Linked DNA regions of Neurospora crassa OR74A. The protein of the gene in region 2 interacts with the protein of the main gene of each other region in a pairwise test. Links are inferred from orthologs where the notes say so. Each region holds a gene or a part of one and is shown on either strand. Other genes may lie near its edges.

The links.
Region 1: the proteins of NCU07724 (region 2) and NCU02473 interact in a two-hybrid assay, tested with the Schizosaccharomyces pombe proteins (2 studies listed by BioGRID). The link is inferred for Neurospora crassa OR74A from reciprocal best matches to the Schizosaccharomyces pombe genes mdv1 and nup44.
Region 3: the proteins of NCU07724 (region 2) and NCU06966 interact in a two-hybrid assay, tested with the Schizosaccharomyces pombe proteins (2 studies listed by BioGRID). The link is inferred for Neurospora crassa OR74A from reciprocal best matches to the Schizosaccharomyces pombe genes mdv1 and ibp1.

Annotation. Positions count from the first base shown.
Region 1 is NC_026501.1:2,426,156-2,436,206, forward strand, and holds NCU02473 (nucleoporin Nup44), read left to right. Parts: upstream 1-4,446; 5' UTR 4,447-4,797; coding exon 4,798-4,881; intron 4,882-4,973; coding exon 4,974-5,094; intron 5,095-5,236; coding exon 5,237-5,880; intron 5,881-5,942; coding exon 5,943-6,056; 3' UTR 6,057-6,590; downstream 6,591-10,051. Other genes in the region: NCU16357 (hypothetical protein), read left to right, coding at 30-293, 475-586, 725-768; nuo20.8 (NADH:ubiquinone oxidoreductase 20.8kD subunit), read right to left, coding at 3,110-3,280, 3,475-3,607, 3,762-3,989, 4,113-4,132; tom5 (outer mitochondrial membrane translocase 5), read right to left, coding at 6,889-6,926, 7,026-7,127, 7,271-7,283; NCU02475 (glycine dehydrogenase), read left to right, coding at 8,785-10,051. UniProt on the Schizosaccharomyces pombe protein: Functions as a component of the nuclear pore complex (NPC).
Region 2 is NC_026504.1:2,074,660-2,085,029, forward strand, and holds NCU07724 (mitochondrial division protein 1), read left to right. Parts: upstream 1-6,029; 5' UTR 6,030-6,397; coding exon 6,398-6,472; intron 6,473-6,612; coding exon 6,613-7,216; intron 7,217-7,268; coding exon 7,269-8,275; intron 8,276-8,344; coding exon 8,345-8,620; 3' UTR 8,621-8,932; downstream 8,933-10,370. Other genes in the region: sre (siderophore regulation protein), read left to right, coding at 20-864; NCU07727 (COPI-coated vesicle protein), read left to right, coding at 1,628-1,647, 1,808-1,879, 2,138-2,181, 2,250-2,333, 2,414-2,586; NCU07726 (bcp-1), read left to right, coding at 3,358-3,462, 3,574-4,350; NCU07725 (chorismate mutase), read right to left, coding at 4,495-5,233, 5,316-5,386; NCU07723 (norsolorinic acid reductase), read left to right, coding at 9,768-9,889, 9,971-10,041, 10,108-10,203, 10,297-10,370.
Region 3 is NC_026504.1:4,686,563-4,695,631, reverse strand, and holds NCU06966 (hypothetical protein), read left to right. Parts: upstream 1-3,860; 5' UTR 3,861-4,126; coding exon 4,127-4,271; intron 4,272-4,473; coding exon 4,474-4,895; 3' UTR 4,896-5,132; downstream 5,133-9,069. Other genes in the region: NCU06967 (hypothetical protein), read right to left, coding at 1,184-2,158, 2,211-2,885. UniProt on the Schizosaccharomyces pombe protein: May play a role in DNA replication checkpoint via regulation of hsk1 or may act downstream of hsk1 in an S phase regulatory pathway.

The DNA.
Region 1 (10,051 bases), on a different chromosome or scaffold from region 2:
TGTTTCTTGAGTAGAATGAAGTCAATAGAATGTTTGCAATCGCTGATTCCCTTGGCGGAGGGGAACCGCATTCTCGCCATGGTAGGCGCAACTCCCAAGTGCTGATACTGTTCAGTGTTAAGCGTCCGTCTACTGCAAGGTTGGCAGTTCAATATAGTTTGACAGGACCTGCATATCAACACCTCTCCGACGCCCTCATATGGAATTGTTCGAAGGCTATCCACTTTGAAAATGGCATCCACCCGCCCTGCAAGAGTTTTGTTCGGGTGATAACCGAGACATTTGAGTTGCAAGTATGCAACAAGATCCTTTTGCATGAGCGCCCTTCCAATATCATTTACTCTGAGAATCTAATAGTGTGCCCCTCCAATGTTGCCATGGTATACGCGACAGACATATCTTGTACTTGCCTTTCATTGCCGAAGTCCCAATTTCTGTCTGTCCACCCTTTATCTGCTTACATTTCACACACAGGCAGGCTATTCCCAAACGGCTGCAAACAGCAAGACTTGCGCGATGGTACCTGTACGATCCCTTCCGGGGTTTGTAACATCCTTCCCGGTGATAATTACCTTTCTTAGCTCACGTAAGTCTTTTGTCTCCATGTAGAAATTGAAAAGGGGTAGAAAAGGGGGCGTGGAAGGGGTTCCTTGTATTCCACCGCGGAACTCTTTTCTCCCCAAGCTTACAAGGCGCACAAACCTGAATGACTGACGAGTGACAGGCAACAGGAAAGCAGACTACACCAACGCCCTTCAAGAAGACTAGGACATCGCTCATTTGCTGGATCTTGATACACAACATTAGATAGAAGCCCCAGAAACGGCATCAATTAAGTCAAATCTACGTAGTCACCGACGATGAAAGGACTATACTTAGGAAAGTGATGAGGACTGCAACGTCAAAGAAAACCACTACCATGACGTAGTCGTGGTGGGTTTTCAATAAACTTCAATAACTATTGTATTGGGACTGAGGGTTAATATCGCTATGGGGTCATGTCGTGGTGTCACCGAGTGCCAGTGTCCTACCCTCCTCCCCGAGACCACAAGGACTACCTAGAGAGTAAGACACTTGAACTGACGCTGACACGGACATTGGTGCTGGTACCTCAGCTCCGGGTTGGTTCGAATCAACATAAACGGAGGTTTGCCTGGTTCTGGTTGCAACAGTTTCTCAGTCTCTCGCAGCGAGACCGGACCAAGTACTTGCTGGAGAAGAAAGCCATTGCAGAGGAGCTAGGAGATATGTGTGAGGCTGAATCAGGAGGCTCTGGTGCTTGTATCCTCAAGAAGACCTGAAAATATTCTCACTTTCTTCATTTGCATACCTGCGTTTGTCTGTTGCAATACCACCGCATTCTACTCTCTCCACATCCATGATAATATAGCAATGGAGACAAGTATACAGGACGAGAGTCCTACCCCTTTCATCAACTAAAAAGCCACCTACTCATTAATACCCAACTTTCTGTGTTCTTTTTGGTCTTTCCAGCGTTCCCCTTCGCATAAACCTGTCCTCCTCACCATTTCTATTCTACCACATAACCCCCACCACATCTCCGATTTCTCACCACTATGATCACTGACAGGCTTGGATGATGACGAATGGGACGCATCACAAGCCCCCAAACCCCAAAGCCAAATGCCGAGAAGCTGAGGATCCAGAGAGATAAAATCCAACGCCTTATCTCCGGATACAGCCGCGTATTGAAACATGCAAGCACTCACTGCTCAGTCGCAGATGGATATGTCTTACAACCACTTACATAAATGTATCGCTCATGTCGCAGCTGCAACACAGTTTCAGAGGCTCCTTTCCCCATGTTTTTTTTCCCTGTTAATTTTTGTTTTCATTATTCTCTTTTTGTAATTCGTCTGTTTTTTTACAGATCACGTGGTACCCAATGCGAATGTCTATCTCTGCCCCATCATAGTCATCAATCTGAGCCACGGCACTGTCATGCCTTATCCTACCTTACCATCGGCGCTCGGTCGCTGTCTTCCTGTGCGGCCCAAACAATTTGTGATTTCATTACCCCCCCCCCCCCCCCCCCCCCCCCCAAGATGTTATTACTGAGAGGGTGTTTTCTCACTTGTCGGATAAGAGTGAGCAAGGTTGATGTCATGATATTGCCTTTTTCCTCAGTCAGACTCAAACCTAGGTGAGACCGAGAGGATTGAAACTTGGAAACCCAGAGGTGTAGGCTTTTGGCACCACCATACAACGAACGACTCATCAAGTAGAATAATCGAGGAAGAGAAGGTTTGAGGGCTCACTCGAGCATTCGAGGGATGTGTTGGGTGAACCCTAGAGGTAGGTAGTGATGGCGGTAAGTAACCCGTCCCAGGCGTTGTGTCAGACGAAGAAGGCAGCAACAAAAGTCAAAGTCGGGCAAGCCCGGTTAAAGATGGCACAGGCACAGGAACAGGCACATGCACGATAAGGTGAGACCGTCGCGCTGCCTGAGGGAATCTGGAAAAGACCGAAGTATGTGAGCAAGGGCTTACCGTGTCTTGTGGAATAGTTGCGCGGTTGTTCTCGTACTGCTAGTACTTGCAGAACGATCCCCTTCTCTTGTGGAATCGAAGTCTGTCAAAACGTAGTGTAGAGGTCATGTGTACGACCAAGCTGTCAGTTCGTTGTCAATCCTGTCGTTTGTGTCAGCCTGGGGGAGAGTGACCTGGCCGTGGTTCTAACATTGGAAGCGCGAGACGTATAATGTGGATCCTAAGTTAATACCAAATCATACTACCGGATGACATATATACCGTGAGTGTTGTCTTTATGGCCGATGACGAAGGTGGATAAACGTATGTACAGTGTGCTGCCGTTCAACTCGAAGCGCCCCCCGCCCTGACACATTACATGCCAGCCTACACAGACAACGCCCAGTTCTATCCTCAACCGCTTGGTTTGCATTGTCTATTCATCTTTACCATATGGTCCTAGAGGGTACGTAGAAGTTATAATCATTACCATACCGTCTTTCTGGGAATTATCTTCGCCCTTGGCATATTCTCCTTGCAGTTCTGTTCTTCCTGCTAGTCCTGTTGTTCTGCCAGGCTTCCCTTCCCCTTCTTCCCCTTCACTCCTGCTCGAATTGCCCTTACGACGATGACGAAGCGGCAGCTGGCGCCTTGTTGTTGTCACCAGTCTGTGTTGGGGGAACGAAAGGCTCGGCGGAACGGGGGATGGGCCAATGCGCATAGATCATCTGCTTCCTGAGGTGGACGGGTGTGACGTTGGGGGGCTGATCGGGGATTTCCTTCTTGAGACCCTTTGTGGTGGGAAGAGACTTGGTAAGTTATCGCACAGCAGTAATGGGACGAACATGTGGTGAGTCATGATGATATCGAGAAAGTAACAGGTAGAGCTTATGGAAAGGGCGCACGCCAACATGGCTCTGCTCGAGTCATGCACTAATCCCATGTGGATTGTGCTGGTGACGAATGGATACTGGCCATCACTTACCAAGTTCTCAAAAACACACTTGTTCAGCTTCCATTCGGCAGGTCGGCATTGCCAGAGCTGCTGGTTGTTGTCCTCAAGGCATGTCCAGTGCTTGCGGAACTCTTCCAGACATGACTTGTTGATGTCGGCGATACTGCGATGGAGGTTTGACCCCCCGTATCCATGTTAGCCAAAGTGTCTCCACAGTGTTCCCCATACTGATTATCCACGACATGACTCTCTTCTTTCTCTCCCGCCCTCTGTCTTATATTCCAGTACCAAATCTGCAAACAGGTAGATTCACTTACACGCTCCGGGCGCATCGGGTAACCCTTCGGCCCTCCTTCAAACACTCAAACTCGCCCTTTCCAGGGTTCTCGTTCTTACACTGCATGAAATCATCGTTGTAATCGCGGCACCGGGCTCCGATGAAGTAGGCGGCGGACATAAGCGGGGCAGAACTGGCACCGAGTTCCTTGACCTTGGGGATCGAGTCCGGCAAGGGGGTGGTGTCGTAAAGGACCTGCTGGTTGAACCTGTGATTTGTGATGATGGTCAGCCCCTCTTTATCGGCAGACTATATGTAGTGATGATGGTGTCGCTGTCGCAAGTCGCCAATTGCTCTCCTGCAGCTGGGCGCAAGCCGGGGGGTCACATACTGGGGAATCCGAGAAGCCATCCTGTCGGTTCAGGCGAGCTTGTCGTTGATCGCAAAGGCAACAAATCGAGGCTTCGAGGGCAGGTTTTGGACGGGTAGCTTGATGATGGTGTCGTACCTCTTGCCGGCTATCCTCGAATGGCCTGGCTGTGAGTGGATCGCGGCTGCCTGCTCATGATTGGCTGGTGAAGGCCAAGGTCAGGTTCTTGGCGTTGCTGCCCCCTGCCTCACCTTCCAGTGACCTCCACCTCGGTCTACTCTCGGTGAGCCGCAGCAAACCCAACGCGCTAGTGAAGTGACCAGAGGAGCTTTGACCTCCTCAACGCCTGCGCAGTGAGAGCCATTCAGAAGTGGGCGCCGTCTCTGTCTACGTACAACCCCGTAAATTTCTACAGGAATTGCCCAGCAACGACGGCTTTGCGAACCGCGACAATCGTGTCTCCCGACTCAGTATCCGATATCACGACGATTTCGATTATTACAATCAACGCGGGCCTATTGCTCGTCAATACGATTTGACTTGGAGCGCGTTTTGTCGATCAATTTATCCAACCTCTGCCGCGAATCCCCACTGTTGCTTTTGTTTTCTTTCGCGGGCTTCAGTTGTTTCCATCAGCACGCGCCATCTTGCTCTCTTGCGCTCTTCAGACTACCATTTCCGCCAGTATACGACACTACCGGCAACCATGAGTTTATTCGGTACAGCCCAGCAGACAGGCCAATCACTTTTCGGTGCTCCTCAGACAGGCACTTCGTTGTTTGGGCAAACGGTAAACCATCCCTCTGCTATTTTCCGTCGGGTTTTGTTTGGAACAGTGACAATTTGAATGGGGCTGAACGCTGACGTGTCGGCCTAATACAGCAGCAACAGCAGCAGCCGCAACAACAACAACAGTCAACTGCCTCCATCCTCGGCCAGTCGCAGGCAAGCCAGAACCCGCAGTTGGGCAGCTCTCTATGGCAGCCCGGAAGCCAGACGACCTGTACGTTGCGCCTGTAGCTATCTGCTACACCATTCCTTGATGTCCTACCGTTGTCGAATTCTTCACCTGTCATCTTGCCCAAACCACGAGCACAAGATGGATAACAACCTTACAATGTTTGCTAACCTCCGACTGCGTGCAGACCAAAAGCCGATCCCGGAGCAGATTCAAGTCATCACTCAGAAATGGGACCCAACCAACCCCAACTGCGCTTTTAAGACGTACCTCTACAACAAGGTCGATGAGCACGCCGCTCCCCTCTACCAGCCTGGACCGAACGACGACCCCAAGGAATGGGAAGAGGCTCTCGCGAAGAAGCCAGGGCCGAACTACATCCCCGTGCTGTGCGCCGGCTTCCCCGCTATCGTTGCGCGCCTGCTTCTCCAGCGGCGCGTGATCACTGAGTTCAATAACAAGCTGCATGCCATCAACGCCAGTCTGGACGAGATCCTGTCACGCCACGACCTCGAGCACTCGGTGCGCGCGCTCAAGGCGAAGAGGAGGCACGCGGAGCTGAGCAAGCGGTGCCTGGCGCTGGCGTCGCGGGTGCAGGTGCTGCGTAATAGGGGGTACGCGCTGAGCAGCGACGAGGATGAGCTCAAGCAGAAGCTGGCCAAGATCGACAAGCACATCCAGGACCCGGCGCTGAGCGCGCGCATGGAGGAGCTCTGGAGTAGGCTGATTATCTTGAGAGGATATGCGGATAATCTGAGAGATGAGATCAACAAGCCGGGTTTTGCAGAGAGCGACGGACTTGATGAGGAGGTTGAGGCGAAAGCGAAGAAGGTATGTTTCTTTCCCTTGGCGGGTTCTCACATTGTCGACCTGATGCTAACTTGGAAATGCAGATTCTCGAGGACTACGAGAAGCAACTGCAGCACCTCAAACAGCAGGTCGAGGAAGCCAGGAAGGAATATGAAGACTGGGAGAAGGAGCATCAGCCCACTCCGGCGCCCATGTAAAGGCGTGAGTGTTCGTGGCTGGACAATGGTGTGAGGCGTAAAACTGATCAGAGAGTCTGCTGGGGCTGCTTGGGAGCTTACCGAGAAAAGCAAGATCACGGATACGGGATTTTAATGTGGAAAAGCTGGGCTGGAGCGGAACAGGAACGACTGTAGAAAGCATGTATTGGCGTTCAGTGGTTTATGTGGGAATTGGCGGCTGGCACTGGAGGAAATACATCATGCTCGCAGGGAGTTTTCTTGGCCATAGCACCGAACCTCCTATATTCAAACTGTGCTGTTTGCTTGGGTATCGTGCAAGCGGTTGTCATAGACAGTTTGAAGCTAACTATGCCCAGTGTTTGATATACACTTGGCGTGATGGGTTGGGGTCTCAAGTGGATGGTCTCTGTGCGTACCGTACAAGGTCGTCGAATTATCATTTTGAAGTGCACAGCTAAAGGTGTCGGACAAACACGTACAAGCTCTTCGACGGCTGTCAAAAGAATGTGGCACGCTCTCAAGCCTAGATTATCGGCAAAACACACTACCTCCATTCGGCGAGAGTACGGTTTACCGCCATCAACGGAGGTCCGCACAGCGTCCCTAGAAGTATCCCAGTCCAAAAGAGAAATTGCTTCATTCCGAGAGTTTTGACACATATCGTACAACCAGAGGAAAAATGTCCGCGCCAGATGGGTATCATTATTCCTTATCGTTTTCTTATCGGCGTGGGAACATCGGAGCTCAGGCACCGCAGGCGGGCCGTTTAATGCAACGTATTTGTTTCCATAAGGCTGTCGTCGCTCATTGATACAACTCGTGGGATTGATTGGTGTCTAAGTACGAATATTTAGAGAACCTTGCTAACGGCGTCGATAACGAAGGGAGCTGTATATAGGTTTTTCCTCTTGTTAGCGCTCAGAACCAGACTGACGTAGGGCAGCGAGAGAAGCTGGGGAGGACAGGCCGGTAGATAGATGGACGAACAGAGGTAAAGAGCAACGGCAGTAAAGACGGCACGTTGAATGGTGAAGGTGGCCTCGGCCTCGGCGGCCTGGAGCTCCTCGCGGGAGAGGGCAGGGGGCTGGACTGTGAAGTAGTAAATAAATGTCAGTACTACCAGTGGAATGGAGACGACGTCGTGGTGGTTGATGTATTTGTTTGTGTGATTGCCTTTCAATGACTGCAAAAGACTGTCAAAGCCCAGTTGAATCAATCAAGACGGCACTTACATCCTCCGAACATTTTGATATGGAAGTCGCGTTGATGTTACTTTTGGTAGACTGGTCGCGATATGGGCTGCTGGCGGGACGACGGGATGCAATGGGGCAATGGAAGATGTGAATGTATAGGTCGTCTTGAAATTTTGGATCCCCTGCATGTTTGGGGTGCCGGCCGGGCCAGTGCAGTGACGCCATGCCTCAGAACGGCTTTCCGCGCTGCAGTGTCCAGCCGCTAGGGATGTCGGTTCTTTCCCAATCGCCCCTCATTTCGCTCGCTTAGGCAGGCAGGTACGTGCCCAGGTTCGTTGTCTTATCAGCTGTTATCAAAAGTCAACGCGCTTATCGGGAACGGCAAGGGCAGTCGATGCAGTGCCCAGCGCTTGTACACTAGAAAGCTCTGAAGGTCCCGCGCAGCCTCAACATGTAACCCCTGGCGTCGGTCGGCCCGAGAATACCCGACTATCTTCGCTGCTAGGTAGTGGCAATCCTCACCCGGCATGTACCCTGTACCTCTTACCCCGTACCCCACAAGAAAGACAAGATCTGGCCCGGGGATTTTCTTAGCTAGTGACTGGAGCGACAGAACCTCCTTGGCCGAGTACTTTCAACCTAAATCAGACGACAGGAATGACGAACGGGATTGGGCGATGCTGGCAAGTTCAACGTCCCATTTTAGCCAGATGCGTTATCAATTCGACCACTCACCGTACTCTTTCGTCTCTGTTTTTTTCCCCCATGTGCCAGCCACTGCAGCGTGTGTCGTTGATATTGGCCTTGACGGCCCCCTTCAGAAGTAGAAGGTACTTTGGGATGAAGTCCCTGTCTCCAACCGTATTCCAATGTGTCACCCAAACTCGATCGGCCGAAAGTTCCTCAATCACGTTAGTCACTATCACGGGTGTCGGTCCTGACTGGTCCAAATCTTTTTTTTTTTTCTAATCTGCGCTTTGCGGCTTTGTTAGTGGTAATAAACCGGCCATTGGGGTCTATGGGGCCAACAGTCTCGACTCACCTCGTCATACTACTAGTGTTGTTGCTAGTAGTCATTGGATCTGCCTCTACGGGACGGGGATGCGCCCGGCTTTTTTTCTTTTGGGGTTGGGGCTTGATCTCTTCAGGTGGACAGTGGTGTGACTGTTCCGTTCTGTTGTTTTGTTTGTTGACCGGCTATGGTTCGATAGACGAGAGAGCGAGTGTGTGTGTGTGTCAGTTGCGGTTGGAGAGATATCGGGAAACCCTATCGATACTCGGGAGACGGTCCGTCCAGATTTGCCCCGCCTCCCTGGACTCCTCCGTTATACTTTTCTCCTTCTCCTTCTCCTTCGCCCTTTCGTCTCGTCTCTTCTTTTTCCTTCATTGTCGTACTTAAGTTCGTCCCATCTTTCCTCCTGTCCCGTATACGGCGGTACCTACCTTCCTCCAACCTACCAATCCACCAATTCCGCCGGGCAGTCCGGGCCTGCCTCATCCTCCCCGCCGATTCGATTCCCGTTTTCGTCGGTCAGTCCCGTTAGCTCACCATCATGACTGCTCCGGGACGTGTTGGCCGGCTGGGTCACATTGTCGGGCCCTCGACGATGGCTTTCCGAGGTGCCATGCCCGCTCGCCTACCACTGAGGGCGTCCACTACTATCTCGTGCCCACAACCGCTGGTGGCTGCCTCCTGCCTGCGATTGGCGTCAAGTGAATCTTCGCAAAGAGGAAAATTGATGAAGATCATCCCCAGTACTGCTTGGGTCCAGTATCCCGAGCTGTTTCCTGTCCGTGAGGACTTTGCGAGTCGCCATATCGGTCCCGACAACTCCAGCATTCAGGAAATGCTTGGGGTTTTGGATCCGCCGGTTGAGTCATTGGACCAGTTCGTCCAGGAGGTCATTCCCGCAGATATTTTGTCGAAGCGCGAGCTTTTCCCGCAAACCCGCGTCAGGTTTCACGCGACTAAAAAGTACCCTACCCGCCAGGGCCATCAAGAGTGGGAAATTATGAAGATCGCCGAGTCTATGGCCTCAAGCAACAGGCATAGCGTGAAGGCTCAGATTGGTGCGGGCTACTATGGCACTCTCACCCCTGAGGTCATCAAGCGAAACGTGCTCGAGAGTCCTGCTTGGTATACCAGTTACACACCCTACCAGCCTGAGATCAGCCAAGGCAGACTGGAATCCCTTCTCAACTTCCAGACCATGGTCACCGACCTGACCGGCCTTCCAATTGCGAATGCGAGCTTGCTGGATGAGGGAACCGCTGCTGCCGAGGCCATGACCATGTCGCTGAATGCTCTCCCTGCATCCAGAGCAAAGAGGCCCGCCAAAACCTATGTCCTCTCCAACAGACTTCATCCTCAGACCAGAGCCGTTCTCAGGGGCCGCGCCGAGGGTTTCGGTGTCAACATCATCACTCTGGATTTCCACGACCCCGAATTCCCTTCCAAGCTCGAAGAATTGGGCGACGACTTGGTTGGTGTCATGGTTCAATATCCAGATACAACTGGCCAAGTGTTGGATCACCGACAGCTCGCCGACCTTGTTCACAAGCAAGGCGCTCTTCTCAGTGTTGCAACCGATCTTCTGGCTCTCACCATGTTGACTCCTCCAGGCGAGTGGGGTGCCGACATCGCATTTGGCAACTCTCAGCGGTTTGGTGTACCTCTGGGCTTTGGTGGCCCGCATGCGGCCTTCTTCGCGGTGCAGGAGAAGCATAAGAGAAAGATGCCAGGTCGTCTGATTGGTGTCTCCAAGGATCGTCTCGGCGGTCGCGCATTGAGATTGTCCTTGCAAACCAGAGAACAACACA
Region 2 (10,370 bases):
TTTGCTAACTCGAGTAAAGGTCTCTATTACAAGTTGCACGGTGTGCATCGGCCAGTGACCATGAAAAAGGCAATAATCAAACGGAGAAAACGTGTGATTCCTGCCGCCGGAGGTGATGCCGAAATTGAGCCAAGTGAGGCTCCAGATTCACCACCCGCGACATCAGAACCTCCGATGGAGAAAGGTACGGTCAACGAAGATGGATCTGTTAATCTCGGCATCCGCCGACGTTCAGTGCGACCATTGACGCTCGTGCCTGAGGACGAATTGCGGCGAAACAGACAGGCATCCCCGCTGTCTTCAGCCGCCTTGGGACAGTACCACTCATCTCATACAAATCAACCACACCACGGGGCTCATGCATCTCTCACTTACGAGAATCGACTGGCTCCCATTCATTCACTGGCGCTCCCAGTTGATCGTCAAGCGTCCATTTCACCAGCATCATTTCTGTCCCCATCGAGAAAGCGGTCGATATCTGCTGTAGAGAACGAACCTTCGTCTCATAATGACAACGAAAGTCATAAGCGCCTGTCTTCCATCAAATCCATTCTCAACCCGATGCCGAGTTCTGAGATACACCGAGAGGTTTCGCCGGCAGACCAGTTACGGATGCAACCAGCCTCCCGGTCCCCAGCCATGAGCAGTCTGACTCCAGCACACAGTCCAGGGTCATTTTCAAACAGTACGGTTATTGGGACACCAACATCAGCTCCGATTTTGCGGAGCGCCTCGAGAGATACCCACAATGATAGCGAGCGGATGAAGGCAGAGCGAAGAGCAGCGTTGGAGCGCGAGGCCGAAATGATGAGAGAGTTGCTGGCCGCAAAGGAACGGGAGCTTGCCGAGTTGGGTTATGATTGACATGCGGAGGCTGAAAAAGCGGCATGCTGTGAATTCGGGGGAAACAACTGGAGTTATTCGGGAGAGCATACCCATGGAATTTGACTTGTGCATAGATAGATAGCAACGGAAGGCATAGTCTTTTTGAGGAAATCCCAATGACAGTTGGAGCCAGAGACCTTTAGTCATAGTATCCGCATAGTGGTTATGCGTCTATTCATCGATGCCGTCCAGTGGATTTGGTTTTGCATAGTAATAGCCGTCTCATGGCTGTAAACCCTAATTGCAACACCCTCGCTGCAATGGCGAAGTGTGATGCGGCAATGGAAGTTTCAAAGTTCCAGACGGAAAGCCCCTGCCCTGACATGCCGTAGGAGCCAGTGACAAGAGGCCGCGCACGCTTGCATCAGCGTCGTAGGGCGGAGCTCCCACGTTGCGCGCGTTTGGGGCCGGTTTAGTGGACAATGTACCCCGGCAGGGACCACCCGACCCTCCTGTTTGGTGCAGGTGAGGCTACCAGCTTCCTGACCTCGAGCTTCGATTGTTCCAGGCAACACTGTAGAATACACCATCCTCACAACATCTTTCGTTGCTCCGTCAAGAACCACCACCAAGTGGCCACATCTATCTCTACGCTCGCGCAAATTTCCGAGACTCATTTTGAATCGCTCTCTAGATTGCGTCGAACCCAGCAGATCGCACCTGTTCCTGCGACATTCTACCAACCTTTGCGACGTATTCGCACCTCCTCCACCACCACAGCCACTACTAAAACAACGCCATAATGGATCTCTCCGACTCTTTGTACGTTCACATCCGCCCGCTCGTGCGACTATGGAGAAAGAAAAGAAAGAAGGGGATGAGAGCGGAGAACAAGCAAGACCGCTGGCCCCCAATACTGCGTGCATCCAAGCATCCGTTCGAGGTTCAGAACTACTTGCTAACATGATGTCCTCCTCTCTAGTCGCTTTGTCAACCTCGCGGTTGCAGTGCTTATGATCCTGGGTGGTGTCTCCCAGTTCTTCCCTCTCGGAATGTACGTTTCCTCATTGTACGCCCGTTAGCAAGCCGACCGACTGTACAAAGTTATGCGCTTCCCTCCACGAGCGGATATTGTGGACGCAGCAATCTTGGGCGGTCGCCGAAATCGATCATGGTCCTGAAGCCTGGATGTCCCGGCTGCCAGTGCGCGCCCGCCTATGCTCACAAGGGTGTTACATGCTTTGTCCGGACTGTTGCGCAGGCTGATAGAAATCGTATGGAGATGTAAAACTGACCAAGTTACTGTCGACAGTCAACCAATTATCCTCGGGTGCTACACGATCCTGTTTGGTGTTGGTAGGTGGTCGCATACGTCGACAGAAACATTCAAATGGTTTCCGAAACGCTGACGCTGTTCTTCACAGCCACCGGTCTCCTGGAGTTCCAGATCCCTCACCAAGTCTACCGCTATGCGTCGTTCATGTTCTCGTTTCTTGGTCGTGGTGTTTGTACGTTATTGTTGCCCCACCCCCCCTCTGCTGCTATTGCTGAGTTATTGTGACTAATCGTCGGTCTACTCTTTGTACAGTTTACATCTTCGTCGGCTGCATCATTCCCCATGGACACTGGGCTACAATCATTATCGGCTCGATCATCTTCCTTGTCGGAGTCGCCTATGTCGCTCTCGAATTTGTGCCCTCTATTGAGCCCCCTCCAAACATGCGCGAGGTGGATGCGGGCTGGGGCGCTGAGCAGGTGTAGTTTGTGATACACGTCACTATTTGGGAAGTAATGCCCTGCCGAGAATTGGTTATGTAAGCATGAAAAGGGCTCTGTGGCCGCCGACAATGTCATGTCGACCCATACCAAGATGAGACGTTTGGGGTGTGAGAGTAGCGGGAGGATGGTCTGTTTGACAGCTACTCAGGAGCGCTGCTGGTGATCAACTGGTGTCAGAATGTTGAGGAATATGTTGCGCCAGCTGAATGCAGCACAAGTCAAGGGGTACGTAGTTACTTTCAGTAGATAACATCAAGGATGTGTAAGAAGATCAACGATTTAGCTTATACTTTAGTTTGAGGGCAGCAATGGTGCAGCCAAGTCAACATTTTGGATAGGACTGGCCTGCAGTCTTCTGGCATCCATAGACAAGCACTGTCCGTAAAGATGAAGTATCTTCCATTTATCGTTCGCGGTGGCAGTTTTCCACAATGGCAGATCATTAACTGGGTGAACGTGGTTGGAAATCCCCCCCTTTTTGGAGTTTGGGCAATTGTGGTTGTCCTAGCAACCATTTTGTTGTATCTAAAGCTGGAAGGGTTAGGGTATATGCAGGTAGGCGATAAGGTTCTTATCAATTTCAATCTTAAACAACTGCATTACAAAATTTTGAGCTTGACGGCCTGAATGACCTCAAAGTCAACCACATATCACCAAGTAAGGAGCCCTGTGAACACAATCATGTGTGGAATATGCGACTGACAAGTCGAATAAGGACCATTTTTATTGAGTCGTTCAAGTACCACATTCAAGATGGGCAAGAAAAGATCGAGAGAGGAAGCCCAGAAGGAGGTCGTCCAGAACGACCCCACAGTCGATAAGATGGATGAGGATAGTGACAGCTCAGACTCGGATGAGGTGAGTTACTTTCCCTTGGTGCACCAGGCTCGGTTGTTAAACCGACCACTTGCATCTTGGTCGAACCTCTCTTGGCCGGGAGTCGTAATACTAACATTGGTTGGAAACAAGGACATGGATATCATCAACGTCGACTTCGAGCTGTTCAATTACGACAAGGACATCGACTTCCACGGCGTCAAAACGCTTCTTCGTCAGCTCTTCGACGCTGACGCCCAGCTCTTCGACCTGTCCGGGCTCAGCGACATGATCATCGAGCAGAACACCATCGGCTCGACGTGTAAGGTGGACGACAAGGCCAACGACGCCTACGCCTTCCTGACCGTGCTCAACGCGTGGGAGCACCGCGAGAAGAAACCGGTCGCGCAGCTGATTGAGTACCTGTCCGACAAGGCCGTCAAGGCCGGTGATTCCAGCCTGTCTGTGCTGCCTGAGTTGTTCACCTCCGGCAAGGCCCAAGTGGGCATCGTCCTGTCGGAGCGCCTCATCAACATGCCGGCCGAAGTCATCCCGCCCATGTGGAACATGATGATCGAGGAGATCCAGGACGCCGTGGACGACAAAGAGCCATACGAGTTTACGCACTACCTGGTGGTGTCGCGCGCGTACGTCGAGGTCGAGTCGAGCTTGGACCAGGAGGAGCAGAAGCGCAAGCGGCTACGCGATGAGAAGGGCCTGCAGTACTTCCACCCTGAGGACGAAGAGATGCGCAAGCATGCTGTCGGTGCGGGCACCTACACTTTTACCAAGGAGGGAGACTCAGCCGACAGCAAGCGTGCGTTCCAAGAGCTGGGCGTCAAGTCACAGGGTTTCATGATGCTTATTGAGGCGGGCAGGTTCAAGCAGGCTGTCAAAGCTATCGGGGATTGCATTGGCGCGGCCAACTAATTTACCATAATGGATTGCGAGAATTATGAAGCACCGAGAAATGGGGGAACGTGAACGGGAAATTTCAACGCATCGTCAGTTCCTGCCTGCAGTGCTGTGGATTTTGTTGTTGTTTTAATTAGGTGCCGGTTACTTGCATCATGGCTATTGGGCGGGCGCCGGCTCCAGTCTCTGCATGAGATACTCAACCTCCACCACCTTGGTAAGAGGAATCACGAACTCCTCGTACATAGCGACGACGGCCTCGACGTTAATCTTGCGCTGGCTCTCCGCCTCGGAGGCGCCTATTGACGGGTCGGTACCGTAGGTTTCCGCCTTAAGCTTCAATCTCTCCAGCACCTTCTTCTCAACAGCCTGGTTGGTGATAGCCTCTCCAATGGCTTCGCGATCACCGGCCTGGATGTACTTTGTGAACTTTTCCGTCTCAGACTGGAACTTGGATTCGGCGACAAATTTGCCAAAGTGAATGCGCCGGGAGATGGCCTGCAGGCAGGCGATATCGCAGGTAGCAGAGGAACCGTAGTTCTCCTTGTTGACACCACGATCCTCACGGCCAAAGTCGGGGCACACGCTGGGAAGGAACTTTTGCGTATAGAACTCTTTGATCTGATCGTTCACATTGACGTTGTTGGGGTGGAGGATCTGGGGGTAGTCGATCGACTCGAGGATGGGCTTCTGCACGGCGTCGGGGAAGAAAGGGTATTCGTCGGGTGACTCGTAGCGACGCATGAGGGACTGGAGACGCTCCTGCTGCCACAAGTACCAGTCCATCAAGCTGAGGTCGGTGTCGGGGAGCGGGACGGCGCCAGGGATGTAAATGTTCTTATTGAGGGGGAATTGAACACGCTCGATCAAATGGAATATGATGGTGTCCTCTAGACGGCTGTTCGACACACGTATCAGTTGGCATAGGTTCCAGGATTGTCGAGGTGATCGTTCAGTGCTTGAGCTCTCTCTTGACTCACATTAGCTGGTAGCGAATGCGCGAAAGATCAAGCGCCTTGTCGACGTCAGACAGTTCGATGATAGCGTCCATCTTGAAAGCCGAGGTGTCGCGGTAGGTGCAATAACGGCTTGGAATAGAGATTTGGGTTATATGTGCAAGTAAGATATCAATTGACAAAGAAGACAAGAGGCAGTTGTTGTGTACAGTGAGCGTTGAGTCCCTCCTGAGGACCCTCAACCGGCAGAGTTGGGACCAAACAATCGCAACTTCGATATCGGACAACAATCAGATTCCCACGTTGCAACGGCCCTGTTAAAATTTAGGTTGTTCATTTGTACATTGGTACATATGACGCACCAATACTGCGGATCCGGTACCCCACTGGCCCTCCAGCGGCTTTCTTGGCAGACACCGGATCCCTGCTCTCGTTACACCCCCTTCTGAACGGAGGCCGAGCCTGAATTGGCGCGTCGCTTGCGTGCGGGGAACCAGGGCCAGGGGGGTGAGGGGAAGAAATGGGAATTGAGGGGGCGCGCTATCGGCTGGCCGGGAAATCCACCTCCCCGCCAACATGCTGCGACCAGCCTGCTGCCAGCCGCAGAGACCGACCACCGAGGGCCCAGTGTGTTTAGAGGGTACCTTTCAAACTATGTGTCCCAGAGACGTGTGGTGGTAGCTGTTAACAGACTAGCTAAAGTGATTCCTGCCACGGTGCTTCACCAGGTTCACACATCAAATTTGTGCCGCATCCACGCGCGCGAACTTGGAGCGAGGTACCTTACCTGATCAACCTCTACAACATCGGGCCATCCGCAGCTGCTGCAATTGATTCAGCCTGCCGTGGTTACATGTTGCTGCCGCGGACTCTGACATTGACAACATCGCTTCGGCATCGCTACCACTAGCCGCAGCTGCGCTCGATTCCCGGCCGTGCGATTTGGCAGCGATAGTAGCGCCCGCAGGATTTTTCTCGCGTCGTCGTCCAAGTGTCCTGCTTCTATTCGACCTCTTTGCGCTTTAGTAGTTCGTCGGGCGGCAACAACCTCTTGGGCATTTCTTTGAACCTTTTTCGATTGGGTAGCAGCCTCCCGGTGCCAACGGATGGCCAACTCCGATCAGAACCGTGATGTGTTCCCGGACGATGTGTCGATTGATGACGATACCTCCGTAATCTCTGTGAGCTCTCCTCACCTTCGTCTCCCGCACTCTGTTCACCACCATGATGACACCCTTCTGCCTCTCCTGAGTCCTTTCCGCATTGCGCTTGGCGCAGCCCAAGAACCACAAACTAATGCAAGATGGGTGAACTGCAACAGACTCGGGGTCTCGAGGCCTTCGGTCGCAAAGTGACGACAACAGCAAGTCACTTGATCGGCCCCATCACCGACCCGACCTCTCATCCTCACTACCAGACCGCCATGACCGAGATACACAAGCAGCTCCAGAAGCCCACGCTTCAACGGGGCGTCTTCGCTATAGCGCGTACGACGCCCACCGATTTAGTGCGCTCCAAGCTGTCGTCAAAGGAAATTCAATCTCGAGCACTGGCCTACGTGCCCGATGAGCTTCTCAGAAACATCCCTGCCAGCTCCAACTCATACTCGTTATTCCAGGGCTTTCAGGCCAGTTTTCCCGACTTTACCGATGATGGAAAGAAGCACAAGCGACGGGTGTCTCGGGGGAGGAAGATGCTCGATGAGAGCCCTGTGCAACCAGGAAGCCCGCACGCGGTACAGAGGTTAAAAAAAGATAAGGCGTCAATGATGCACCAACTTGAAATGCTTGGTGTTCGGAAAAATATGGCTAGCAGCGAGATCCGTGAGATTGATAACAAAATCGCCAATCTGCACGGCATGCGCAAGATCATCCTCGACAGGCTCGCTAATCTTGAAAAAGAGGAGGCAGTATTAGAGCATGACAGTAAGTGTTTATGCGCTTAATCTTGGGACCTCCTACTAACCGCAACTGGCAGTCATGGATGTTGAGAGCAGGCTAGACGAAGCTCAAGAACTTGCTGATGAGGCGGAATCGTTGGCGATGGCGACACCGAACAAGTCTGAGGAGGATCTATCAAGAACTGAAGAAGGATTCATGTCGCAATCCATCTACGAGAAATTACCAGCAGCCAACACTCCTCCTGGAAAAAAGAAGCCTCGCAACCATCGCAAGAAGACACTCCCGATTCTCCACGAACATTTCGAGCCAGGCACGATGATTCGCTCGATGCGCGCGCACCAGGATAACATCACGGCTCTCGACTTCGATGCTCCCTTTGGTCTCATGGTTTCGGCTGCAATGGATGACTCGGTTCGTGTGTGGGACTTGAACGCCGGGCGCTGCATCGGTACTCTTGAAGGTCACACGGCATCTGTACGCACTCTTCAAATTGAAGATAACTTCTTGGCTACTGGCTCTATGGATGCGACAATCAAGCTGTGGGACCTGAGCAAGGCCCACTACGACCCTCAGGGTAGCCAGGAGGTTGATGAGGAGGACGAGGACCTTGCGTTTGTCAACCCGAACGATCACGCAGTCGATCCGCCTGCCGGAAGCATGGCTGATTGCCCTCTTTTCACTCTCGAGGCCCATCTCGACGAGATTACGGCCTTGCATTTCAGGGGAGATGTGCTCGTTTCTGGCTCCGCCGATAAGACGCTTCGTCAGTGGGATCTTACAAAGGGTCGTTGCGTGCAGACATTGGACGTGATGTGGGCCGCCGCCCAAGCCACCGCAATGGGCAGCAGTGACGGTCCCTGGAGACAGACCAGCCGCTCTGCCGACGGATCCGCAGACTTCGTTGGTGCCCTGCAGGTCTTCGAGTCTGCTCTGGCTTGCGGTACTGCTGACGGTATGGTTAGACTCTGGGATCTTAGAAGTGGACAGGTGCACCGTAGCCTGGTTGGACATACCGGCCCGGTTACTTGCCTCCAGTTTGATGATGTTCATCTCGTCACTGGCAGCTTGGACAGAAGCATTCGTGTAAGCAACTTCCTCATTCTGCCATAACACTACGAAACCGAGTGGCACTGACACTGCTCCTTATCACAGATTTGGGATCTTCGCACTGGATCAATCTTCGACGCTTACGCATATGATCACCCTATCACCAGCATGATGTTTGACACCCGCCGGATTGTTTGTGCTGCTGGTGAGGATGTGGTTAAGGTGTACGATAAGGTTGAGGGACGGCATTGGGACTGTGGCGCCGGCATCACTGAGGCTGAGAAGGCCAAGTCCCCTGCAATCGTCGAACGCGTGCGCATCAGGGACGGCTACATGGTCGAAGGCCGTCAAGACGGTGTCGTCGGCGTCTGGACATGCTAAAGGCGACATGGTCCGCCGGGGGGGGGGGGTTGCATTGCTTGTACAAATACGACATCATACGACACGACTTACACTGGATTGGAGAAAAAGGGGCGGCCACGTATATTGGTGTTCATGAGTTTATGAAGAGGACTCGTCTAGCGACAAAATGAAGTCATTGTTAGGGTTGGCTGGATACCTTGGGTCTGTACGAGTGTAGGTTCGCAATGGAACTATACAGCAGTTACATGTATCTCTCATCTGTGCAAAACTGAGCCCCTGGCGACAGTTGAGTGATGTATCGCCAACAGAGCCAACCTAAAGCATTGACCCCATTGAAAGAATAGGTGAACGCGCCTGGACGCAAGTGGGGATCATCTCGAATGCGGAAGTCATGAAATCATCGGAGCAGTGTCCGAAGAGGGGTAAAGGTGCTTCTGGTCTACCCTGGCCTCGCCCTTGCTTCCGGTCGTTGAACTCCCTCCACGGAGACAAGCTTATCTCCAGCCGGACTTATAAATCAATGATCTCTGTAGAAAGTGATGGCACAAGATCGAGATTGCGAAAGTTATCCTCTGGTCGTTCGGGGAGTTTGCAAACCCGTCCGCTCCCCACGATCGTCCATGGTCCACCTTAGATTGAACCCCACTTGCCGTACACGGACTCTGAGATCTGGGATCGAAACCATCACCTCCGTCTGCTCGGGTGCCCGAATATCCCCAGTTTTCTTGCGTGCCTGGCATCCCACTGTGGAAGAGCGTAAACTAGAGACCCCCGCTTCAGCTTGCCATTGCCCCCAAGCCGATCCCACCTGTACACTTTGAGGTTGCTCTAGGGGTACTCGTCAGGCCCGCCTCCGTGATCTCTGCCTTATCTCCGCTTGTTAACTTATACAGAAGGAAAGAGGGAACGACCCTCCTGTGTGCCTCCCGTTGTTTAGCAAAGTGATATCCTTGTTTCTTTTTGCGAATCATGGATCTGGGCTGTACGTAGTCTCCAGCCGATCTAACCTCGGCCGTCGTACTGGCATATAATTTAAGCTTCCTTCCGTTCCCTGTCCCTTCTCTTATGAACTTCCCGTGTGTATTGATCATCTCTCGTCATTCATCCTAGTCTTCCTTTTCATCCCATCCCACCTTTCGATATAATCTCCTAACTTTGACTCAAAATGGCCCTCCCTATGGCGCCTCCCCCCAAGGGGCCCCTCGGCCGCTATCGTTTGCTGTCCCCTACTGCATCCGTCCGTGTCAGTCCGCTTTGTCTGGGGTCGATGAACTTTGGCGATTCGTGGTAGGTTGTACACATCGGACTTGTGCTGCTAACCGTTCGTGATATTGTTTGATTACTGACCTGCGGAACCTTACTTCATAGGCAAGATTATATGGGAGAGTGCAATCAAGAGACTACGGAGAGCATTTTGGACTTTTACTATGAGAACGGAGGTATGATGGGAAACTCCTATGGATTATTCCGCTAAAGCTGACTCGGTGATGTTGGGTGATGTGTAGGTAACTTCATTGATACTGCCAACAACTACCAGAAGGAGGAATCTGAGAAATGGATTGGGGAGTGGATGAAGAAACGGGGAATCCGAGATCAACTTGGTAAGCTACTACTTTGCGAACCTCTTTGAAGCCTTTTAAGCACACGTCAGACCCCTAGATTCCGCGTGAAGCAGACATTAATCGTCATCCCAGTCATCGCAACCAAATATACCACCAACTTCAGAGCTGGCCATGGTGAAACAGAGATCATGGCCAATTTCGGAGGC
Region 3 (9,069 bases), about 2.6 Mb from region 2:
ACCCAGGTCGGGGAATTTCTGCCGCAGGTTCGATAGTGTGGCCGGTGCGCCTTGCTAGCTGTTGCCCCTGCAGGATCTAGTATTGCACTAACGTAGCCTGAATATTTTTTGGTGGCACGTTAACCAGAACTCGTCGAGATAGGCGTTCAAGATGATAGCGCAAACAGGAACTTCCAGGTTCTGTAGGGCTGGCTGCGACTGCGGTTTGTAGGACTCCTGTTTACCACTAGCTTCAGAAAGGGAAGTTGAGATGGCGTATCACTGTTGAAGAGCGGTACGATGGCGGAACACCTGAAAAAGACGACGGATAATGAAGACTGAAATGGACAAAGATGAGCAAAACAAAACCCGGAAAGGTCTTTCCACGATTGCTACGCGATTTTATTGTGAAATTTCTACCCAGAGGCTCTTCTACACTAACAATATGGCGTCGGTCTCGGCGGAAGAGCTGGGCTGTGTTCGTTTGTCGTCATCGCGCTTTCACAAGAACCCGCCAGAATCTGGTCGGGATCCGGGCTGGTCCGATTTCACATGCAAGACGTCAACCCCCGATGCCCAAATCTGGGCTGGCCTCTCGTCTTGGAGGTTGTTGCGACGGTCATAGGTTGAGATGAACTATACAGATGCTGTATGTCCTTCATATCAATGAGGATCATATCGGGAGTCTTCGTACTCCTGCTGTCGTGTCAACATATTCTTTGGGATGATAAATTCCGTTCAGTTGGTTGCATCTCGCGATGGGACCGCTGGTAGCTCCCCTCCCCCCAAACTTCAGTGCTGTTGCCGCCTGCGTCATTCTTGGTGAGCCGAACTTGGTTTTAATGAAGGAAGGAAGCTTGGGCCAACTGCCCACACTCACATCCAGCCACGTCATTGCGGTGGCTCAAACCTGCTTGTTGTGGTCTTATTCAACCCTAACCCTTCTCAATCACCTGCTTTCTTTTCAAATGACAGCGACAATACTATGATCGTATATATCGACATTCAAGATATGACAGTAGGAGCTGTGGAAGTTGAGCTCAAGCGGTCTTGATGAGACCTTTTACTGAGAAACTTGCACATGAACTTGTATATCTTACCTCCAGTCTCCTCGAAGGTTACCCAATAGGACCAACTAGGAGCTCCCAACCGCCAACATCACCATTTCAAATCAAGGCAGCGACGATATCATGTATCCGTATACTTAGATGAGTCCGTTCTTCGGCAACGGCCAATTCGGGTCCCTACTCTCGACTATTCTTCCCGGCTGCAGCTGCTGCTGCTTCTGTAGCCATTGTTGTTGGTCCCCCATGCTCTGACCCTGCAATCTCACACTCCCCGTACTCGCCGCTCTCCGCCTCGAAGTCGTCGTCGATGGTCCACGCGCATGCTTGCCGCGTGCAGAAGCAGATGCGTTACTGGCCATTCTCTCATCAGTGCTGTTATTCCTCGCACTTGTCGCCGATGCAGTCCTCGAATGGCCGAGTGGATGTCCACCACCACTCGTACCGCTCATCACCGACGTGTTGGTAGGCACGGTTTCCAGGGGCCGAGCCATTATGTCTCCGTAGACGCTTTTGCTGCACTCAGGAGCGTACCGTATTGAGATATTCCTCCTGATGTCTTGTGTTGTTGGGGGAGTGGGTAGGGGAATGGTTGGCGGCGGGCCAGGCGATGGGAGGAGGATGTCGCTGGAGGTACTATATTTTCTGCCAACCGCCTGTCCAATCTTTCCCTGGGAGTTGTCGGTTGATGGCTCGAACTGGGGTATCCAGGCTGTTGGTGACGGGAGATAGGCTTGCGAGGGCCGTCGGACGGGAGGTGGTTGTGGCCCCTGGGTTGGAGAAGGTGTGTGTGCTTCTTGGATGGTCTCCAAGTGGATAGGTCCTGGTGACCTCGTCGGACTAAATGGGCCCCCATTCTTGGTCGGGCTGGCCTGGTCGTTGACGATATAGCTGACAATGGCACGATCAAGCGCGTCGCTTACGTTCTGGTCTTCTTCTTTTTGTTGTTGCTTCCTCTTCCGGTATCTCACGAAGAGGTAGAAGCCGGCGAGAGAAAGCACAGAGGAGCCAATAATGGCGATGACAACTGCTATAGCAGCACGGTTGACCGACGACGCGGCTCCCTGCACAGCTTTGATGTCGGGGTTGTTGAGAGCCTGCGGATTGTTTGGAGTCTGGCAAAGGTTAACGCGATGGCAACAAGTTTCAATATCACGGAGCACTCACCATTGTCGAATTTGGATCTGCCGTGATGGTCGGCCCTATGAGGTCTGTTGTAACCGAGACAACGGTTGCTGTGACCGTGACCGTCCCTTGGCCCAGCTTTTCACTCATGCTGCTAACGGTGCTCGCGGCCGAACGTTCTGCAGCTATCACAGCATTGGATGCCGATTCCTCGGTCGACGCTATTGCGATTGAGGCCGAAGCTTGAACAGATGCTAAGGCGCTGGAGGCTGACGAGGCGAGATGATCGATCGACTCCTGAAGCCCGATGATGGATGTTGCCAGGAGGCTTGAGAAGTATATCGCGTTCGAGTTGGCTTCTTCGAGGGCACCGCTGAGCGAGCTTATTGTTGCTAGTAGGGAATTATTACACGGGCAGGATCCTACAGCCGTAGGTGCCGTTGTCGGGAAGGGTGAATGGGTTGCCTCTGCTGCCACTGCGACACTGATCGCCGAGGTCACGGTCGTGAAGACGGGCTGTGAGCCAAGATCTTCATGGCCGCTGACCGGACGCCTTGCAACAATGGGTGGATGATGGTGTGGCCATGACGAGAAAGGATTCTGCCCAGTCTCGAAAGACTCTGCACTTGCCACGTAGTCAAGGGTGGTCAATGCTGCCGAGTAGCAGACAATAATTCCTATAATTAGGCCGTATATGAGATGACCCCGATTTCTCATGGTTCATCTTGACTGACTGAGGGAAAAGGACAGAGAACTCATTGTTCTGTTGTTCTGCAGTTGGAACAGAGCAACTAGAGATGAACACTGGGAGGAAGTGCGGTGGGATGGCCATACGGGGCAAGAACCGAACGCCAGAAGATAATCCCGAGTCAGACAATGGTGACTTGCACACCAAAAGAACGGGACGGGATGTCATAGTCCTGTAGGCGCAAACGTTGAGGGTCAAGCAGCTAGAAGAGCACGGATCCCGATGACTGAGGGCCATCCGGGTTTCTGATTCGGCAAGAGGTTTTGATCTAGAAACAAGGTGGAAACGACTAGACCAGGTCAGCCTTGAAGATGCGATACAAGGATCTCTTGACCACTGTCACTCGGCAGCTGAGGGGCCCGTTGCGGACTTGCCTCCCCTCCTCAAGGATACACAGAAGTGAGTTCTGAATCCCCCAGTTAAAGCTGACTGGGTACCTATATTCCAGGTTCTTCACGAACAAGATCGCATCATCAGCTTACACGGAAGTAGGAGTAGGAAACGAAAAGATCCTCCATGGGCGCCACCTTAACCTGATCTCTTGAAGGATGAACCTGTATCAGTAAACCAAAATGACTCGAGAATTGTATGGCATGACTTGACTCGAAACAGCCGACTTCGATGATGGTGGCAATATCCCATACGATCTTCAACGCTTAAGCCTACGTTTTTCAGGATGATGGACCGCAGATTGAGGACTGTCGCTGTTCCGGTGGGAATACAGCATCTAATCCAAACCCAACAAGTGCAGGTATACCTCACAGGTCGGTTGAGGTGCAAATAAGGTTGAGTGTTCCAAGATTGCCGCCAAGGATTCTCCATTGCGAAAGCGCCCGTGACATCTGTCTGGAACTTTCCTAGCAGCTGCGGGCAGCTGCCCTGCCTGCCAAAAGCGCAAGAGGGTCCAGACCGTTCCATACGGTACAGCTCACTGTAGAATGTCCGCGGTCTGGAACGTCGCCCGCTGAAGAAATGGGACCTGACAGTGGAAGGATTGACACTTGTCACCACTGCAGCTTGATAGGCACTGATAGCGGCGGCTCAAGAAACCATTCGAAGAGACGGAACTTGGAAGAAGAAAGATACCTATCGACATATCAAGAGGAACTATTCTTCATTCTTTGCCCCCCGCGTCCTCTTTGCTCCTCCAATCCCCCCCAAGTGCTCCCCTCCCTCCTAGATCAACGTCCCAAAAGACCGCCGCCAGAAAATGACCACTATCGGATCCCTCCAGCGGCTGTCCGCCACGTCCCTGTCCAAGCTGATCCTGGCCGAACAGGCCTCGACGGCAGCAGCGGCGGCCGGCACGGAGAACAGCCGCTCCACTTTGGCCATCATTGACGTGCGGGATGACGGTGCGTACTTAGCTAGTTCCCGCTCCTGGTCTTTGTCCTCCGCAAGGAACCTCCTTCACCTTCCTTGTCTCCGCAGCATCATCATCTACACCTGTCCTACTCCATACCAGATACACAACTTACTCGCACAATCCAAAAAGAAAAAAGAGACACAGAGTCAATCATTATGCGTCATCCCCCGGTATTAACAACCCCTTCACAGACTACATAGGCGGCCACATCAAGGGTTCCCAAAACGTTCCCTCGCACAAGCTCGACGCCATGCTTCCTACCCTCGTCCGCCAGCTCCAAGACAAGGAGACGGTCGTCTTCCACTGCGCGCTCTCGCAGCAGCGCGGACCCAGCGCTGCTTTGCGCTACATTCGCGAGCGGGATCGTCTGATGCCGAAGGAGGTGGAGACTAAGCTTGCTGCTTCAGTCGAAGAGGCTGTTGGGGCTGATGGTGAGGGAGAGGTGAAGAAGAAGCAGGGGGAGGAGGAGGGGGAGGAGAAAAAGAAGCCCGTCGACCAAAAGGTGTTTGTGCTGGATCGTGGGTTTGTGGGGTGGCAGGAGGCTTTTGGGTTGGATGAGAGGTTGACGGAGGGGTATAGCAAGGAGTTGTGGAGGGATGGGTACTGGATGTGAGCGTGATCCATGAGATGGCTGGCTCGCCCTTTAAGAATTGAGCGAGCAAGCTTGGGAGTTGGGAGTACGAGAGGACGGGATAGAAGGTTCACTGGTTAGCGAAGCGGGAGTTGATTGGGTTCATAGACTTGTTGTTAACATGAGTGAACTTTACTGAACATTCCTCTACCTGATGAAAAAAAATCACAGATGGGGTCTTTGCTGACAGGCAACAATGGATTTTTGACTCTGCGCGGACAACAACACTAGTAAGTAGCACATAGACTGTGATACATGTGTAAGGAAAGACCTTTGTCATTGACCCCAACGTTTATTTTGGCTAAATTTCCAAATGTGACTCTTCTGAAATAGTCAATATAACCCCCTCACTAATCCCAATATGCCCACTACATCTTTCCAAGAAACTCCACAGCCCCTCTCCAGCCCTCTAACCAGTCAGTCTAGCTCAGTACATAGGTACCCCAACTCAACAAAGCCTTTATCCCAGTATGTTGTGGGGAACCAAACGAACGGTTCATGTTTATGTTACCCCCGAAGCAGCGAAGCAACACTCCAAAAATGCACGAGACTTTTGTGTTACCAGTAGGTATCCATGAGTGCAACGAAAAAGGTACCACGCATTAGGGCCAGCCATCCATTTTGGGGAAAGGAACAGTGAAAAAAGATTCAGCTGAAGTCTTGGGTAGCATTATAGATGCAGTAGGTACGTTGCGGTAGTAGTTGGTAGTCCAAGATTTGTTGTCCCGCTTTTCTTTTTTTTTTTTCTTTTTTGCGGGCTTTATGGGTTCAAACTAATACACAAATGTATGATGTGGGATGTGGGACGTCGCGTAGGTGACTTTGTACGAGTAGTAAATGCCAGACAATCATGCAACGGAGGGAGGGATCTTTGGTTGACGCTACTCGCTGTGCATGTATCAATTAGGTCTCTTGGCCCTTGGCGAACGACCATACTAGGATGCAAAGTCCATAAGGTTGAACTTGGTATCTAACTATTGATGGACGAATGCCGAATCGGGTATATATATATAGACTTCTTCGAAGGAAGTTCTGGAAGGTTATGGTTTCTTGGTAGCTTAACCAGACCAGCCTCCACTCACGGATATGCGAGCTACCATAACAGTGAGCTCAAGAGCATCAATGAAACGCCACAGCCTCGGCCACATCACTTGCTTTTCTCGTTATCGAATTCCTTTATGGCGAGCTTCAGTCTGAAATCACGTAGATAGTGACTTTGACAATAGTTAGTGTCAAGGCAAAAAGAACAGCTGTAGAAAGAAAGTGCTTGCGCCACGTACTTTTGATGATCCTAACTCCAATGTAACTTTGACAACTTTGAAATGCTCAGTAACGTGTCCACGATTAATGGAAGCATGAAAGCCTTGGCACGAAGAGTCTTCGGGACCCTTCACACATAATATATGCATGAAGGACACATCCTTTCTCAATACGATCAAACCAATGTTCACAGTAGGATGAAGAAACTTCGAATACACCACGAAACCGGTCACTGGAATGACGAAAGACATCAACGGTTGGTTGGAAAGTGGCAGATAGGCCACCATTGGACAATAATGCGAGAGTGGTAATGGAAATTTGGAAATGTGACAATCCAAGATAGTTACCGAGTTTGCACTATCATACAAGTACGCAAAGGCAAGAGGGAACTATGTATTTTTTTTTTTTTTTTTTCAGTAGCAGGAGTAGCAAATAGAGAGTGAAAAGGTGATGTTGAAAGGGAGTATGCTGAAAAGGATGCTTGAGTCCTGTCTTTGTTGCTTGCTGCATGATAACCTGAAGATGGGAAAAGCGAAGATGTAACTCTCAAAGCATCGGTGTTGCCGAAGGGTACTGTGGATAGTTTAACTTTTCAGTCATTGGTCATGCACTTCAGTTGCGTGCTAGATCGGGTGCTTGCTGAAAGGCATTCAAATGTACTCAGGCGTCATCACTAGACGGTAGGCTTCCTAGGTTGTTCACGTACTAGTCTACTCCATCCACATGGATACGAGTGACGGCAGCTAATGAGACGGATGCCATCTTGCGTGGATAGCGCCGGCACACATGCCGATTGTTCTGGAGTACATGCCTTGCTCTATACTGTTCAGATCTGGTCGGAATGCCCTCAGTCAAGATCTTGGCAGGGAGCTGTGCAATCTCTCTAGTCTCAGTTTCCTGGTTCATCCAAAAAAAGGGCCGAGGCTGTCATCAACTCGTTGATGTGGAAGATATCTGTGCATAAATGCATCTTGGCTGGCTGCCAGCAAGCCACTCATTGGACAGCCGAAGCGAAAACGGTCGTGCCAGCGAACCGTCACCTCGGAACGCGAGAAAAGAGCGACTCTCAGCTCAGGATTTTCCCCCGTGGGTTAACATTGGGATGTAGGTACCTGCACTGACAGGGTAAGCTTATATACCATAATGGTACATGTAGTGCTACCCTTGCCGTATCGTGGCCAGTCTTGATACTGACAAAGGTACCTTGGTCTCAGTGAACTGGTCCCAACCGTCTCAATAGATGCCGCAAAGACTTGGCGGGCTGATGGAACAACAAAAGGGCCAGTTAAGAGAAATCATGAAGTGTGCCTGACTCGCTTGGAAGCAAGCGAAGCGCTGGGTGGAGCAAAGCTCAAGATACTAAAGCTCTTTTGGTTTAGAACTGAGGATGGAAAAGGACTCGTGAGTGCGTACCATCGAGATCGAGACGCCAGCTCCGGCAGGGCCCGGTTCGACCAGGACGAATTGGTAGAGCAAGGCTATGTCAAAGACGACAGAAAAATGAAATGGATTCCTTCGTTTCCTTCCTTAGTGTGCGGGGTATTCGGGATAATGGTGGAGTGTTTTGGTTGAAAAAGAAAAAAAAGAGAAGAAAAACACAAACGTCAAGGTGTCATTTGCGCAGGATGCTGGCAAGATGACGAGCCATGATGATTTTAAGAAGGGAAACATGGTCAAGAACTATGCATGGCCAGTGACCCATCATTCCCAGCCATGTATTGCGACGACAAAACATGGGGAACGTCTGGCATGGAGAGGATTGATGGCCAAAGGAGAATACCATGGACGAATATCAGCCACGGTGCAAGGGAAATGGGAGCGTAGGAACATGATCCATCCACACCATGACAAATGTGAGATCAAGGGTCCATGGCTCAAAGATCTCTTTCGGGTATCGAGTCCGCGGTGGTTTCCAAAGAGAGTTAGCGAGGGGAAGGTAGGAGATATTTGGTGTGGTTGGTGAAGGCCGGAGTGTGAAGGATCCTAGCAATGATGGCCGGCGGCGAGATCGATCGCAGATCAGGGCAACGGCGACAGGGGAGATAATTTGGCTGTCCGAGATAGAAACTGAAAGGGAAGCCACTTGGAGTAGAGGTAGGTAGGTAAGTAATTGAAGAGGAAAAGTTGAGATTGGGTGGGTACTAACTTGAAGCTGTCAGACGGGGGGAAGGCGCGGAAGGGTTGGATGTAGAAAGTGTAGAGGTACCTGGGTACATGAGAGGTAGTGTACGCAGTAAGCTGTTGGTTTGAAATATGAAGCTTGGCTTTGACGACTCAGCTTATCGCAGATCCGCATAGCGCACGGTGCCCCCCACTTGCCGCCTTCGGTTGTTACCGAATGCTCTAGTGTAGTGTAGTGTACCCTGGACCCGATTTTGGTCGATGACAGCGGTCCTGTTTTCCTAAAGACGGGAACATCTTGGTAGTGGATTATGGCCGACTTGTTAGTGCTGAGAAGAGCATTTGTTGACACAGAGACGCATCGTCAAAACATGCCTCCTGTTGACAAATACCGACGTGTGTAAGACGCTCCCATGTTGACAGTGCCTGGAAGGAACCGCGAAGGAAGCATAGCCCTACAGGACACCGACCAATCAGAGGCCATTTCTCGCTCCTGATTGGGCAATTTGGGGGACAGCGCACGACGGAGCCAGGCTCTATTTGTCAAAGTCTCTCTTCGGCTTGTCTTTCCCTTCCAGGTTTCTCTTCCTTTGCTTTATTTGTGTACTGAACTCGGCGAAACTCAACAACAGCTTCCGTCACCCATCAGCATTTGGGAAATCTATGCAATATCAAACGCATTCAACAAACGTGATGATGTGACGGGACATAGGGCCTACGCATTCTGCCTTTTCAGGCCACGTGCAGGCCTCAAGGATGCCCTGTCCACTTCAGC